Linked DNA regions of Canis lupus familiaris. The protein of the gene in region 1 binds, or shares a complex with, the protein of each later gene. Links are inferred from orthologs where the notes say so. Each region holds a gene or a part of one and is shown in the gene's direction. Other genes may lie near its edges.

Region 1 (4,326 bases):
CGCCGTCAGAAGCGCTGGTAGAGGTGGTGCTGCGACCAACCCCCGCCAGTGTTCACGGTACTTGGGGAGGGGTTAAGGAGGGACTGTGGTTGCGCAGATGCAGGTTGTTCCTTGGCCTCCTCTGCCTTCTGCCCTCACCCACTCATGGAACCTCCATGCCTCCCAGAGGAGGGACACGGGGTGGGCTGGTCCTGCTGGTCTCCTCTGGCTTCTACATTCTTGTTTCCATAACCTCACTTCCTCCCCTCTTCAAACTCTAACCGACCCCCATCACTTCCTTCCCTGCACATTTACAGAGTACCTGCTGCATACTAGACGGACAACACCTTGCCCCTATGAGTCTGACATTTCTGTTGGTCCTGGCATCCCCAGGGGTGTCCCCCAGGGGCGTGCCCCCAGGTGTATCCCCCTAGGTGTGTGCCCCCAGGTATGTCCCTCAGGGATGTACCCCCAGGCGTGTCCCCCTAGGTATGTGCCCCCAGGAATGTCCCTCAGGGATGTGCCCCAGTTGTGTCCCCCAGCTGTGTCCCTCAGAGGTGTGCCCAGTTTTGTCCCCCAGGTGTGTGCCCCAGGTGTGTCCCTCTAGGTGTGTGCCCCCAGGTATGTCCCTCAGGGATGTGCCCCAGGTGTGTCCCCCAGGTGTGTCCCCCAGATATGCCTCCAGGTGTGTCCCTGGCCTCATCATTGCCCTCTCATTCCTGTTTCTCTGTTTGAGGCCTCAGCCCTGGATGTGGCTGGGGGTCTCCTGCTTCTAACTTCACCTGAAGCTTCTCTTGGGTGTTTATGTTTTGCTGGCACAGCTCAGGAGAGGGGAGGGAGCTGATGCGGAGCTGATCCCCCGGCAGGTGCTGAGGTTACCTTAGGTCCTCAGAGCTGGCAGGTGACCCGAGGGCAGGCTCCTGTCAGTGTCAGGCCAGGTCCCCACATACTAACCAGTCCCCCTGCCAGTGGTTTCACTCTTGAATACCCAGTGAGCGGTTCACTGTGGGTTTTTTTTCTCTCTGAATTCCTGATATCAGCTGTTTTTCCTCCTGCTTTCTATCTTCTTAAGACAAAAATGAAATACAGTAGGAAAGCCACAGCCATCTTATATTAAGTTGGGGTTTCTCCCGGGCCCCTCTGCTTTCTGTTTGGCCTCCGGCTCACGCAGGGGAACAAGCAGGTGCGCCACCTGCCAGGGCTGAGGACCCAACAGGGCAGCTTCAGGGAGGTCCATCGGGGTCTGCACTTTGTCCTCAGAGGAAGCAATGGGGAGGATGGGCATCTAATCCGCCTGGAAGCAGCTTAGAGGATTGTCTTTTTCTGGCACCTGCTCTGTGACCCCGGGCTGGGATTTGGCTGGAGCTGTGTCAGCTGGGTTCCCTGGGCTCCCGGCGAGGCCCCCAGTCACTCTTCACCTATTGGGACGCCTGCAGTCTGGGGAGGGCAGGGGGCACAGGCCCCGGACAGTGGGTCAGGCCTCTCGAGCCTAACTCGGCAGGAGGCCAGCACCGGGATGGATTTCGGTTCCCTGGAGACGGTGGTGGCCAACTCAGCCTTCATTGCCGCCCGGGGCAGCTTCGATGGGAGCAGTGGCCCATCTTCTCGGGACAGGAAGTACCTGGCTAAGCTCAAGTTGCCTCCACTGTCCAAGTGTGAGGGCCTCCGGGAGAGCCTGGACCTGGCGTTCCCAAGTGTGTGCTCAGAGCAGCCCATCGGCAAGCGGCTTTTCCAGCAGTTCCTGGGGGCTGATGAGAGGCATGTGCCAGCTCTGGAGCTCTGGAAGGACATCGAGGACTATGACACTGCAGATGACGACCTCCGGCCACAGAAGGCCCGGGCCATCCTGGCTGAGTACCTGGACCCCCAGGCCAAGCTCTTCTGCAGCTTCCTGGATGAGGGGGTAGTGGCCAAGTTCCGGGAAGGGCCCACGGCAAGTGAGGATGGGCTGTTCCAGCCCCTGCTGCAGGCTACCCTGGAGCACCTGAGCCAGGCGCCCTTCCAGGAGTACCTGGGCAGCCTGTACTTCCAGAGGTTCCTGCAGTGGAAGTGGCTGGAGGCCCAGCCTACGGGGGAGGACTGGTTCCTGGACTTCAGGGTCCTGGGGAAAGGTGGTTTCGGGGAGGTGTCTGCCTGCCAGATGAAGGCGACTGGCAAGTTGTATGCGTGTAAGAAGCTCAACAAGAAGAGACTCAAGAAAAGGAAGGGGTACCAGGTGGGCAGCTGACTGTTCACGGTGGTGGGAGGGCCATCGGGCTGTGTCCGGTCCTGCGCGGGGCCCTTTGTGGGCTGGCTCCTCTGACCTTGGGACACCGGGCCCCTCCTACTGGGCAGCCTCCTGATCCTGAGCCAAGGGCCTGGCCCCCGGGGCATAGAGGGGGTGTCCTCAGCTCTGCCACCCTGGCCCAGCACTCTGCACACCACAGGGTTTGCCCTGACCCCTCATCAGAGGCGGCCTTAGAGGTGTTTGTTAGTGTGGGCGGTATTGCATATCCTGCCAGCTGTCATCTTTTTTTTTTTTTTTTAAGATTTATTTTAGAGAACACGTGTGCACGAGTGGGGAAGGTGGGGTAAAGGCAGAGGGAAAGAGAGTCTTAAGCAGACTCTGAGCTGAGTGCAGAGCCCAACGCAGGACTCAGTCCCATGACCCTGACCCTGAGATCATGACCTGAACTGAAACCAAGAGTTGGACACCCAACTGACTGCACCATCCTAGGTGCCCCTCCTGCCAGCCGTCTTGTGTTTTTACCACCATCATGAAATTTGGGAACAAGTGTTGGGGGAGGCTGTTGGCTTCCTGGAGCTCTCTTGGCCCTGGCTTGTCTGTGACGGAGAGCACGCTGGGAGTCCAGCCGCTGGGAGTCCAGCCAGGCCTGGTAGCATCCGCCATGCTTTCTCCGGGCCGGAGTGAACCAAGCACATGGGGTTGCTGCATGGGGTCTGCTCTGCATGGGGTCAGGCTCCGTTGAGGCAGGACAGTGGATGCTGCTGTGTTGTAGGAGCTTGTCTCATCCCATGTGGTCCCTTGTCTTTCCTGCCAATGGAGCACAAATGCAACTTTTGGGGTTAACAGCAGCCACCCAGGGTGCCCACCCCAGGGCTTCTCAGTAGTGCTGTCCCTTTGGGGCTACGGGACAAGCAGGCATCCCTTCCAACTGTCCACGTGTGGTCTGAACCCAGCATCTTCTGTCCGAGGTCGGGGTCCTCACTGAGCCTAATACTCAGCAAGAGCAACCTGACATCTGCTCCGTAGTGTGGATGCAGAGGGCTCCCAGAACACCAGGATCCCTCCTTCCAAAAGGAATTCTACCCTCCTTAACCAAACATAATTTTAAAAAACATGTTAAATGGACATCGTGAGGTTTTAAAATACAGTTGGAAGATGAAGAGATGCTGCTGGGTCCCTGGCTGGCCGCTGCCCAGGGCCTGGAGAGGAGGTTGGGGCCTGGGGTTGCAGTGGGCAAGCTGGCCGGGTGTACCGAAGGCCCGGAAGGAAGGTCAGCACCACACAGGCTGCCATTGCCTGTGCTGGGTCCTCCGGTGTTTTTAAGGCTGGTGGTCTGACTCCTGCCCCTTGCTGGCGAGTCCTCTGTACACCCACACATTTGCACGGCTGGTTGGGGGATGAGTGAGATGTCTGTAGGTTGTTTGCAATTGTGTGGTGCAAGCTCCTTCAAGTGTGTTTGCATCTATTTTCTGGCATGTGGGACTTGGTCTTTTTGGTGACATCCTGCTTAAACCTGATAATATTTCGACATCTTGCTTTTCAGGGTGCTATGGTGGAGAAGAAGATTCTAGCAAAGGTACACAGCAGGTTTATAGTCTCTCTGGCCTATGCATTTGAAACCAAGACTGACCTCTGTCTGGTGATGACCATCATGAATGGAGGCGACATAAGGTAAATGGGGGGGCTGCCCACACGTGTAGAGAATATGGTGACCTGAGGTAAAGCCCTGGGCCCCCATCAACATGCTCCTCCCGTCCCCCAGTGGCTGATACTCTGCAGTCCTATGTGAAATGTGGGACCACGGGCAGATGGCCCGTGGCTCTCTAGCTCCTGGTGGACCTGAGGTTCATGTGACCACATAGGGGTGGAGGCAGCAGGAGCACAGGGTGCCACAGGGCAAGTGCTAACTGGGCAGACAGATGAAAGAAGGCTTGGGTGGAGGGCAGGGGTTGAGGACACTGCTTTGTGACCTGCTCTTGGGGATGACGGCAGAGCTGGAAACGTGACGTGGCCAAGTTCTGGGACCGGCGCTTTGCTGCCAGTGGATGGTGTCTGGATTTGCCGGGCGTCTGAGGACCCAGCCCTGGACTCCGGAGGATGTCAGGCCACTGGCTTTCAGT
Region 2 (2,431 bases), on another chromosome or scaffold:
CCAGGCTCAGGACTGAGATGGAACCCGGCACCCACAGTTGGGTTGCTGGGCACCCCCGGGCTCTGAATGCTGCTGGCCGAGGCTGCTGCCCAGAGCTGCTGAGTTTGCTCCTCTTGCTATAGCATGTTGGTGCTGAAACTTCCCAGACCTGCTCGCCCTCCCTCCAGGCTAATGTCACAGGCAACACTGCCCCTGCCCGAGTGTGTGCAAGGTGCCCCCAACTCCACCCAACACGCTTGCCTGCACCCCTAGTCTGCCCCAACGCTCAGCGCATGGGCTGGAATGGGCTCAGGAGCCACTCAGGTGTCCACTCTGGCCTGGCTGGGCTGGACTTAACGAGCTGATGGGATCCTATAACCTGGAGCTGGCAGGGCACATTGAGACCACCTTGTCCCTCTCTGTTCTCCAGCCCCTTGGATGCTCTCCAAGTGATAGAGTGCAAGGATGAAGGTTCTAGAACCAAACTGCCTGGTTAGAATCTCCGTTTCTTCATCTGTAAAATGGGGCCAATGAAACCCACCTCATAAGGCCATTGTGGAGGTTACGTGTACAAGGGCATGTTACGCGTTCCATGAACATTAGCCGTTGTCACCATAAGCCAACCCAGCTGGGCAACCAAGGTACCACAGGGACCCCAAAGAAGCCATTTGAGGTGGCTGCTGTGGGATTATCAGAAAGCTTTTTGTTTTTTTTTTTTTTTAAGATTTTATTCATTTATTCATGAGACAGAGAGGCAGAGGCAGAAGGAGAAGCAGGCTCCCTGAGGGGAGCCCGATGAGGAATTTGATCTCAGGACCCCGGGATCATGATCTGAGCTGAAGGCAGATGCTTCACTGACTGAGCCACCCAGGCACCCAAGCTTTTTGTTTCTTATCTCATTTTCATTTTTTTTAAATAAAATGAAAGTATTGTTTCTACAGGGTCAGGAAATTCCATAGGTGTAGAGAAGGGGCAAAATAAGTGAAAGCCTTCTTTACCCCTTCACTCCGTTCCCTGTCCCTTCTGAGGATCTAAAAAATACAGATTCCCCAACTCTGCTCCCCTGGGCAGGCTGGGGCCTGGGAATCTGTATTTTCACCTCTGCTTGGGGGGATATCTGGCCCTGGGCATGGGGGTGGGGGAGGGTAACCCCTGCTTCTCCTTCTGATGGGAACTTCCTCTTTATGTGCTGCAGGCTATTTTCAAAATGATCAGTCCTGAGGATGTGAAGCAACTTCCAGAGGATGAGAACACCCCAGAGAAACGAGCAGAGAAGATCTGGGGATTCTTTGGAAAGAAAGATGATGGTGAATTCCTTCCCCCTTAAAAGCGTCTGGTTTTAGAGTCATGGGCTGTTTCCTGGAGGCCCCAGTGAGATTGGTCTTCCTAGGGCCAAGGGGATCCCTCCTCACGGCATGCACTGCAGGGCTATCTGAGTCCCTGGGGGAGAGGGGACCCCTCATCTTGGCATGCACTGCAGGGATCTCTGCATCCCTGGGGGTGCAGGGGGACAGTAAGCAGACCAGCCCAGCTCCACTGTCCCCCTGGAGCAGATGCTGCTGGTGGGGACTGGTGCCACATCCCCCTTGCCCCTTGACTCCATCACCGCCGAGCTCCCTGGGGCAGGGGGAAGGTCTGGATTCTGGAAGGCCAGGGAAGGAAAGGCACCTTAGAGCAGCGTTAGCGCCGGGGGAAGAATGGCTAAGTCAGGACAGCAGCTCCTTAGCCAAGGGCGTACCCACTGCGGGGTTACGGGCTCTGCAAACCACTTTCTGTTTCAGCGGAAGTGCTCACCTAGACGCCTGGGTGTACCTTACTTGGTTCCTAAAATGCTTTCTGCACAGTGAGGACAGGGCAAAGCTTCAGCTCGGCCTGTGTCTGAAGGGGCGTCGAGTCCCAAGTGAGCAGGATCTCAGTTTACCTGCTTTTACGCCGGGGAGTTAATTTGGGTTCCGACAGATGGAATTAGATTTAGATTGGGTTGGAAGCGATTTATTGAGAACTGGCCTTCGAGGGAAAGGAGGGGCTGGAGGAGCCTGGGGAGGCCCAGACTGCAGGGCAGCGGGGCCCCGAGTAGAGAGCCCAGGGCCGCTGAAGACTTGAGGCCGCAGCCCTGCTTTTGAAGGTTTTGGCAAAGCCAGGGGAGCCCCCGGGGGCCCCTTCTTCCACAGGCCGGCCTGCCTCGGTCCCTCCAATGCCCCTGCTCAGTCTTTGGCCACGAGCAGCCCTTGGAGAGGTGGGGTCTCCCTGAAAACAGGGAGGCATTCCAGAACAGGGCAGCTGGTCTGCAGGTGCGTGATGCTCAGGCCAACGCAGGCAGCACTGCAGAGGGGCGGCGTGGGCACGGCTGCAAGCTGGGCGGGGAGCCCCCCGACATGTGGGGACCTGGCAAGTGGCTGCCCGTTCTTGTGGCTTCCAGCTGGTTGCTGCCACCTGGGGACCCGCAGCCCCG
Region 3 (4,400 bases), on another chromosome or scaffold:
TTTATTTGTAAGTCCTGCTAACCCCACAGAACGATACTTCCTGCAGGCATCCTCCTTCTGCACTGCATTTGTCAGAACCGAGCATCTTGTCGGTGCTCCATACACACATGTACTGGAGGGTGGTCCTAAAGCATCCTTGTGCTGGGCACTCCTGTCTGCTCCACTTCATTCCTCAGAAGCATCATGGTGCTCCTTTCACTGATGGGGGGAGCCTGTACATGCTGAGCCTCCATTTGCCCCCAGAACCCCCTTTCATGGGGTTACCTGCCACATAGCTTCCAAGGCCCACTGACCCAGCCCAGTCTGACCAGACGTCCCTAGATGTGCCCTGCATGCTGCAGTGTCCAGCCAATTCTGTTTCCAGGCTGGGCTTTGCCTTCACATTGGAGTCCCAGGAGGCCACAACCAAGCCTGTCTTGCTCACGGCAGTAATCTGGTGCCCAGCACAGCAAGCCCTGGTCTCCTTTTCTATCCTCATTTCCTCCAATCTGCCCCTGAGATCTGCCCAAGACACTGCCCACTGCCCTTTAGATAAAACCAGGCTCCTCAGCCTGGCATCAAGATCCATCAGAGCTGGCCCCAGAGCCCATGTGCAGCCTCACCCCCAAACAGGCCCCTGCCTCAGGCCCCTACCAGCTCTTGTCTTCAGTCTCCCGTCTTTCCCACTTGGCAACCTAGCAATATACTCCTCTTCCTCAAACCCCACCTCCCCAGACACCTCCCTTTCATAGACAGTCTCCCCTGCCTTAGCTTCATGGAAGCCCCTCCCTGGACTTGGATCTGCTCTTCCCACATCAGAGTCTTTCTCAGTCCATAACCTCCTCCTTTCTGGATCTTTGTATCCTCAATGGTCTGTACATAAATGTTTCATGAATGAGAGAGCGAGTGGATTCCAACTCAAATACCTAGTGAGCTCCTGGGCTATGCCGGGCTGTGTGTCTGGCATGAAGAGTGCTACAGCTGGCAGGATGAGGCCCCTGCCCTCACAGAGCTCATAATCTGGTGAGGTGGGCTGGGCTCAGAGCCTGGCAACTGGATGAGCCAGGAGGTGACTTGTGGGGAAGAAATTGGTAAAGGGCTGCGTGGGGAGTCAGGAGACTGAGAATAACCAGAGCCTCTACCCTTTGGGAGCTCGTTGTCCAGTGGGGAGACAAAGTCAGCTCACATGAGTGAGGGAGACATGGCATGGAGCCAGAGGTCCCAATGCCAGGCCAAGGCCACCAGACTGATCTGGGCAGAGATTCCTGGGGACCAGAAGAGTTGGGGGCGGGCCTTCTGCCCTTTCCCAGGGTCCCCAGCACCTCCCCTCTCTGGCCCCAGGCTTCTGTCTAGAGTCACCTTGGCCACTCTTGGAAGCCAATTAGGCCCCTAGTTGCGGCAGTGGGGATTATTATGATTAATAACGCCCCCAATCTCCCAGGTGCTGATTCAGCCAGGAGCTTAGGGAGGGGAGGTCACTTTATAACGGCCTGGGGGGGGGGTCAGAGCCTGAAGTCGTCCTGCCGGAGCCCTGGGTGGCCAAGCTCAGGCCTCAGCAGCACTCTTAGGACTGAGCCGCCCACGGGGCAGCCGCCAGGACCGCAGCCATGAACGGGACGGAGGGCCCGAACTTCTACGTGCCCTTCTCCAACAAGACGGGTGTGGTGCGCAGCCCCTTCGAGTACCCACAGTACTACCTGGCTGAGCCATGGCAGTTCTCCATGCTGGCTGCCTACATGTTTCTGCTGATCGTGCTCGGCTTCCCCATCAACTTCCTCACGCTCTACGTCACAGTCCAGCACAAGAAGCTGCGTACACCTCTCAACTACATCCTGCTCAACCTGGCTGTGGCTGACCTCTTCATGGTCTTCGGTGGCTTCACCACCACCCTCTACACCTCTCTGCATGGATACTTTGTCTTCGGGCCCACAGGATGCAATGTGGAGGGCTTCTTTGCCACACTGGGCGGTATGAGCTGGGGTCTCAGTGGTGGGATGGGGCGGGGGGGATACGGGAGCCAGGAGGAGTGGAGGGATCTGGAGAGACAGCCCGTACTTGGGGATGGTGTCTAAGAGGGCTGCTCCCCACTATGTTCACCAGCAGTGTCTACTTGATCAACACACACTGTTAGTGATGATAAGCTAGGCTGTTTATTGAGGGCAGGCATTGGACACTGTCGCTCTCTTCCTTTACACCAAGGAATCTGAGCATGAGAGAAGTCAATGGCCTTGCTGGGGCCACACTGTGGTGGGGAGTTTCCACCCCACATCGCTCTGGCCCCTCGGGCCATGTTCTGTTTCCCTTGGAGCACCTGTGCTGGTCAGACCCATGCCGGGCACTGGGGATAGGGGTGGACAGGTTGGATCCCTGAGCTCAGGGCTCTCAGCCCAGGATGGCACACAGATGATCAGTTCTCCAGCCACTGGACTCTGCCTGTGTTGGGCAATGTGCTCAGTCTCTCCCCACTGGCATCCATCTGACCCTGCAGAGAAGGGTCTGTCTATATGTGGTACCCCTGTCTCACCCCTGTCTCGTGGCCTGAAGCTGGGTGATCTGTGTTCATTGAGGGTGACAAACACCCAGTGATGGCTGGAGATTCCCTGGGAATGGGGCTGAGACAGCGCCCTGGACATGTGAAGCAAAGAGAAGACAAGGCGACAGAGCAGTCCTTTGGCTGATGCTAGGCTCTGCAGCCACCCCGGGCTCTCTCCTGCTTGCCTGAGAGGCTGTGTGTCCCAGAGAAGGGGGGCCAGTCCTGGATCTGAGCCGGAAGACCCAGGCCCTGGTCACTGCCCTGCCACATCCCTGAATGTGTTTCTTCCCTTCTCCTGGCCTCACTTTCCTCAGCTGCTAAACAGGATCTATTGTCTCTCCAGCACCCTCATCACTTTTCCAAAGAAACTATTCGAAATCATCTTTTTTTTTCTTTTTAAAAGACTTTATTTATTTATTCATGAGAGACACAGAGAGAGGCAGAGGCAGAGGTAGAGGGAGAAGCAGGCTCCCTGTGGGGAGATGATGTGGGACTCGATCCAGGACCCGGGATCACGCCCTGAACTGAAGGCAGATGCTCAAGCACTGAGCCACCCAGGCGTCCCTCGAAAGCATCTTTCAAAGCTACAGATCACCACACAATGTAATGCCTTCCTATGGAAGGAGTTTCTTCAGAGGGGAAGAACTTCCCCACACAAAAAGGCTGGAAGACAGGGATGAGAAGGTACCATGTACAGGTGGGCACTTCCATGCAAGGTTGGCACCAGTTTACAATTATTATTTTGGAGTAATAATTATTAGCGTTCACTTTGTCTCTCAGAAACATCCTGGTTTGGTTGATAGAGTCTATGGCCAACCTCCCCATTGAGTTTTGGGGTAATGTTTGAATACCCCCATTCTTTTTTTTTAAGATTTTATTTATTTATTCATGAGAGACACAGAGGGAGAGAGGCAGAGACACAGGCAGAGGAAGAAGCAGGCTCCATGCAGGGAGCCCAATGTGGGACTCAATCCCCAGACCCTAGGATCACAACCTGAGTCAAAGGCAGATGCTCTACTGCTGAACCACCCAGGCACCCCCAAATTTCCCCATTCTTTTCTGCTTCTTCCTCTGGGCAAATGATTCCCCAGCTTCCTGGCTCTGAGATGCGGGACCCATAGACCCAGGTTATTTCATTCCCCAAGTGGAAGAGGCCACTGCTTAAGAGGGAGGGAGGATGTCCAACTCCAACAGGCACTCTGCCTGTCACCCCGGTCTACTCCGCACATTCTCCTTCGCAGACTGGTTCTTCACCCCTCTTCCCAGAGTCCAAGCCATCTCCATCCCAAGTCCTGGCCCCAGCCCTGCCCCAGGCTGCCTTCCTGGCCGCCCTCTCCCACCCAGGAGTGCTCCCTCCTTAGGCAGTGGGGTCCAGGTAGGTGGTGTGTTGACTGATCAGTCCCTGACTGCCTTGCAGGTGAAATTGCCCTGTGGTCTTTGGTGGTCCTGGCCATTGAGCGGTACGTGGTGGTGTGTAAGCCCATGAGCAACTTCCGTTTTGGGGAGAACCATGCCATCATGGGCGTCGCCTTCACCTGGGTCATGGCGCTGGCCTGTGCGGCACCCCCCCTCGCTGGCTGGTCCAGGTAATGGCACTGAGCAAAAGAGAAGGGTCCCCGTCCCCGGGGGGGAGGTCTCTGTAGGGTCCCTCACCCAGGACTCAAACCTGGTGCTGTCTGGTTCTGGGCATCGAGCTTATATGTCCCCTACTCTAAACGGCCACCCTGACAGCTCTCCCAAGGGAGGAGTTTAGGGCAAGGGAAGAGAGAATCAGACCCTAATGTTGCTATGGGGGCTGGTCCCATCTCCTGAGCCCCCATGTCAAGGAGAATCCAAGACGCCCCAACCCTTCACCTTGGCTGTGCCCCTAATCCTCAACTAAGCCAGG

What was found.
Region 2: the proteins of GRK1 (region 1) and RCVRN are in contact, whole or in part, in an NMR structure (PDB 2I94), measured with the Bos taurus proteins. The link is inferred for Canis lupus familiaris from reciprocal best matches to the Homo sapiens genes GRK1 and RCVRN. Residues at the interface, in NP_776598.1 of Bos taurus: Phe3, Gly4, Leu6, Glu7, Val9, Val10, Ala11, Asn12, Ser13, Ala14, Phe15, Ile16; in NP_776590.1 of Bos taurus: Lys22, Trp31, Ser34, Phe35, Glu38, Cys39, Phe49, Ile52, Tyr53, Lys55, Phe56, Phe57, Tyr86, Leu90, Thr93, Ser94, Phe188, Glu189.
Region 3: the proteins of GRK1 (region 1) and RHO are in contact, whole or in part, in a cryo-EM structure (PDB 7MT8), measured with the Bos taurus proteins. The link is inferred for Canis lupus familiaris from reciprocal best matches to the Homo sapiens genes GRK1 and RHO. Residues at the interface, in NP_776598.1 of Bos taurus: Leu6, Glu7, Thr8, Val9, Val10, Ser13, Ala14, Ile16, Ala17, Ala18, Arg19, Gly20, Asp23, Ala24, Glu184, Asp185, Trp186, Phe187, Leu188, Asp189, Phe190, Val192, Arg195, Glu200, Gln205, Met206, Lys207, Lys221, Arg222, Thr256; in NP_001014890.1 of Bos taurus: Lys66, Lys67, Arg69, Thr70, Arg135, Val137, Val138, Val139, Lys141, Ser144, Asn145, Phe146, Arg147, Phe148, Glu150, His152, Leu226, Thr229, Val230, Ala233, Gln236, Gln237, Glu239, Thr243, Ala246, Val250, Met257, Ile305, Tyr306, Met309.

What each region holds. Positions count from the first base shown.
Region 1 is NC_049243.1:61,066,713-61,071,038, forward strand, and holds the start of GRK1 (rhodopsin kinase GRK1), read left to right. Parts: upstream 1-1,495; coding exon 1,496-2,194; intron 2,195-3,749; coding exon 3,750-3,877; intron 3,878-4,326. UniProt on the Homo sapiens protein: Retina-specific kinase involved in the signal turnoff via phosphorylation of rhodopsin (RHO), the G protein- coupled receptor that initiates the phototransduction cascade.
Region 2 is NC_049226.1:34,533,672-34,536,102, reverse strand, and holds part of RCVRN (recoverin), read left to right. Parts: intron 1-1,174; coding exon 1,175-1,286; intron 1,287-2,431. UniProt on the Homo sapiens protein: Acts as a calcium sensor and regulates phototransduction of cone and rod photoreceptor cells. Modulates light sensitivity of cone photoreceptor in dark and dim conditions.
Region 3 is NC_049241.1:5,708,892-5,713,291, reverse strand, and holds the start of RHO (rhodopsin), read left to right. Parts: upstream 1-1,586; coding exon 1,587-1,947; intron 1,948-3,929; coding exon 3,930-4,098; intron 4,099-4,400. UniProt on the Homo sapiens protein: Photoreceptor required for image-forming vision at low light intensity. Required for photoreceptor cell viability after birth.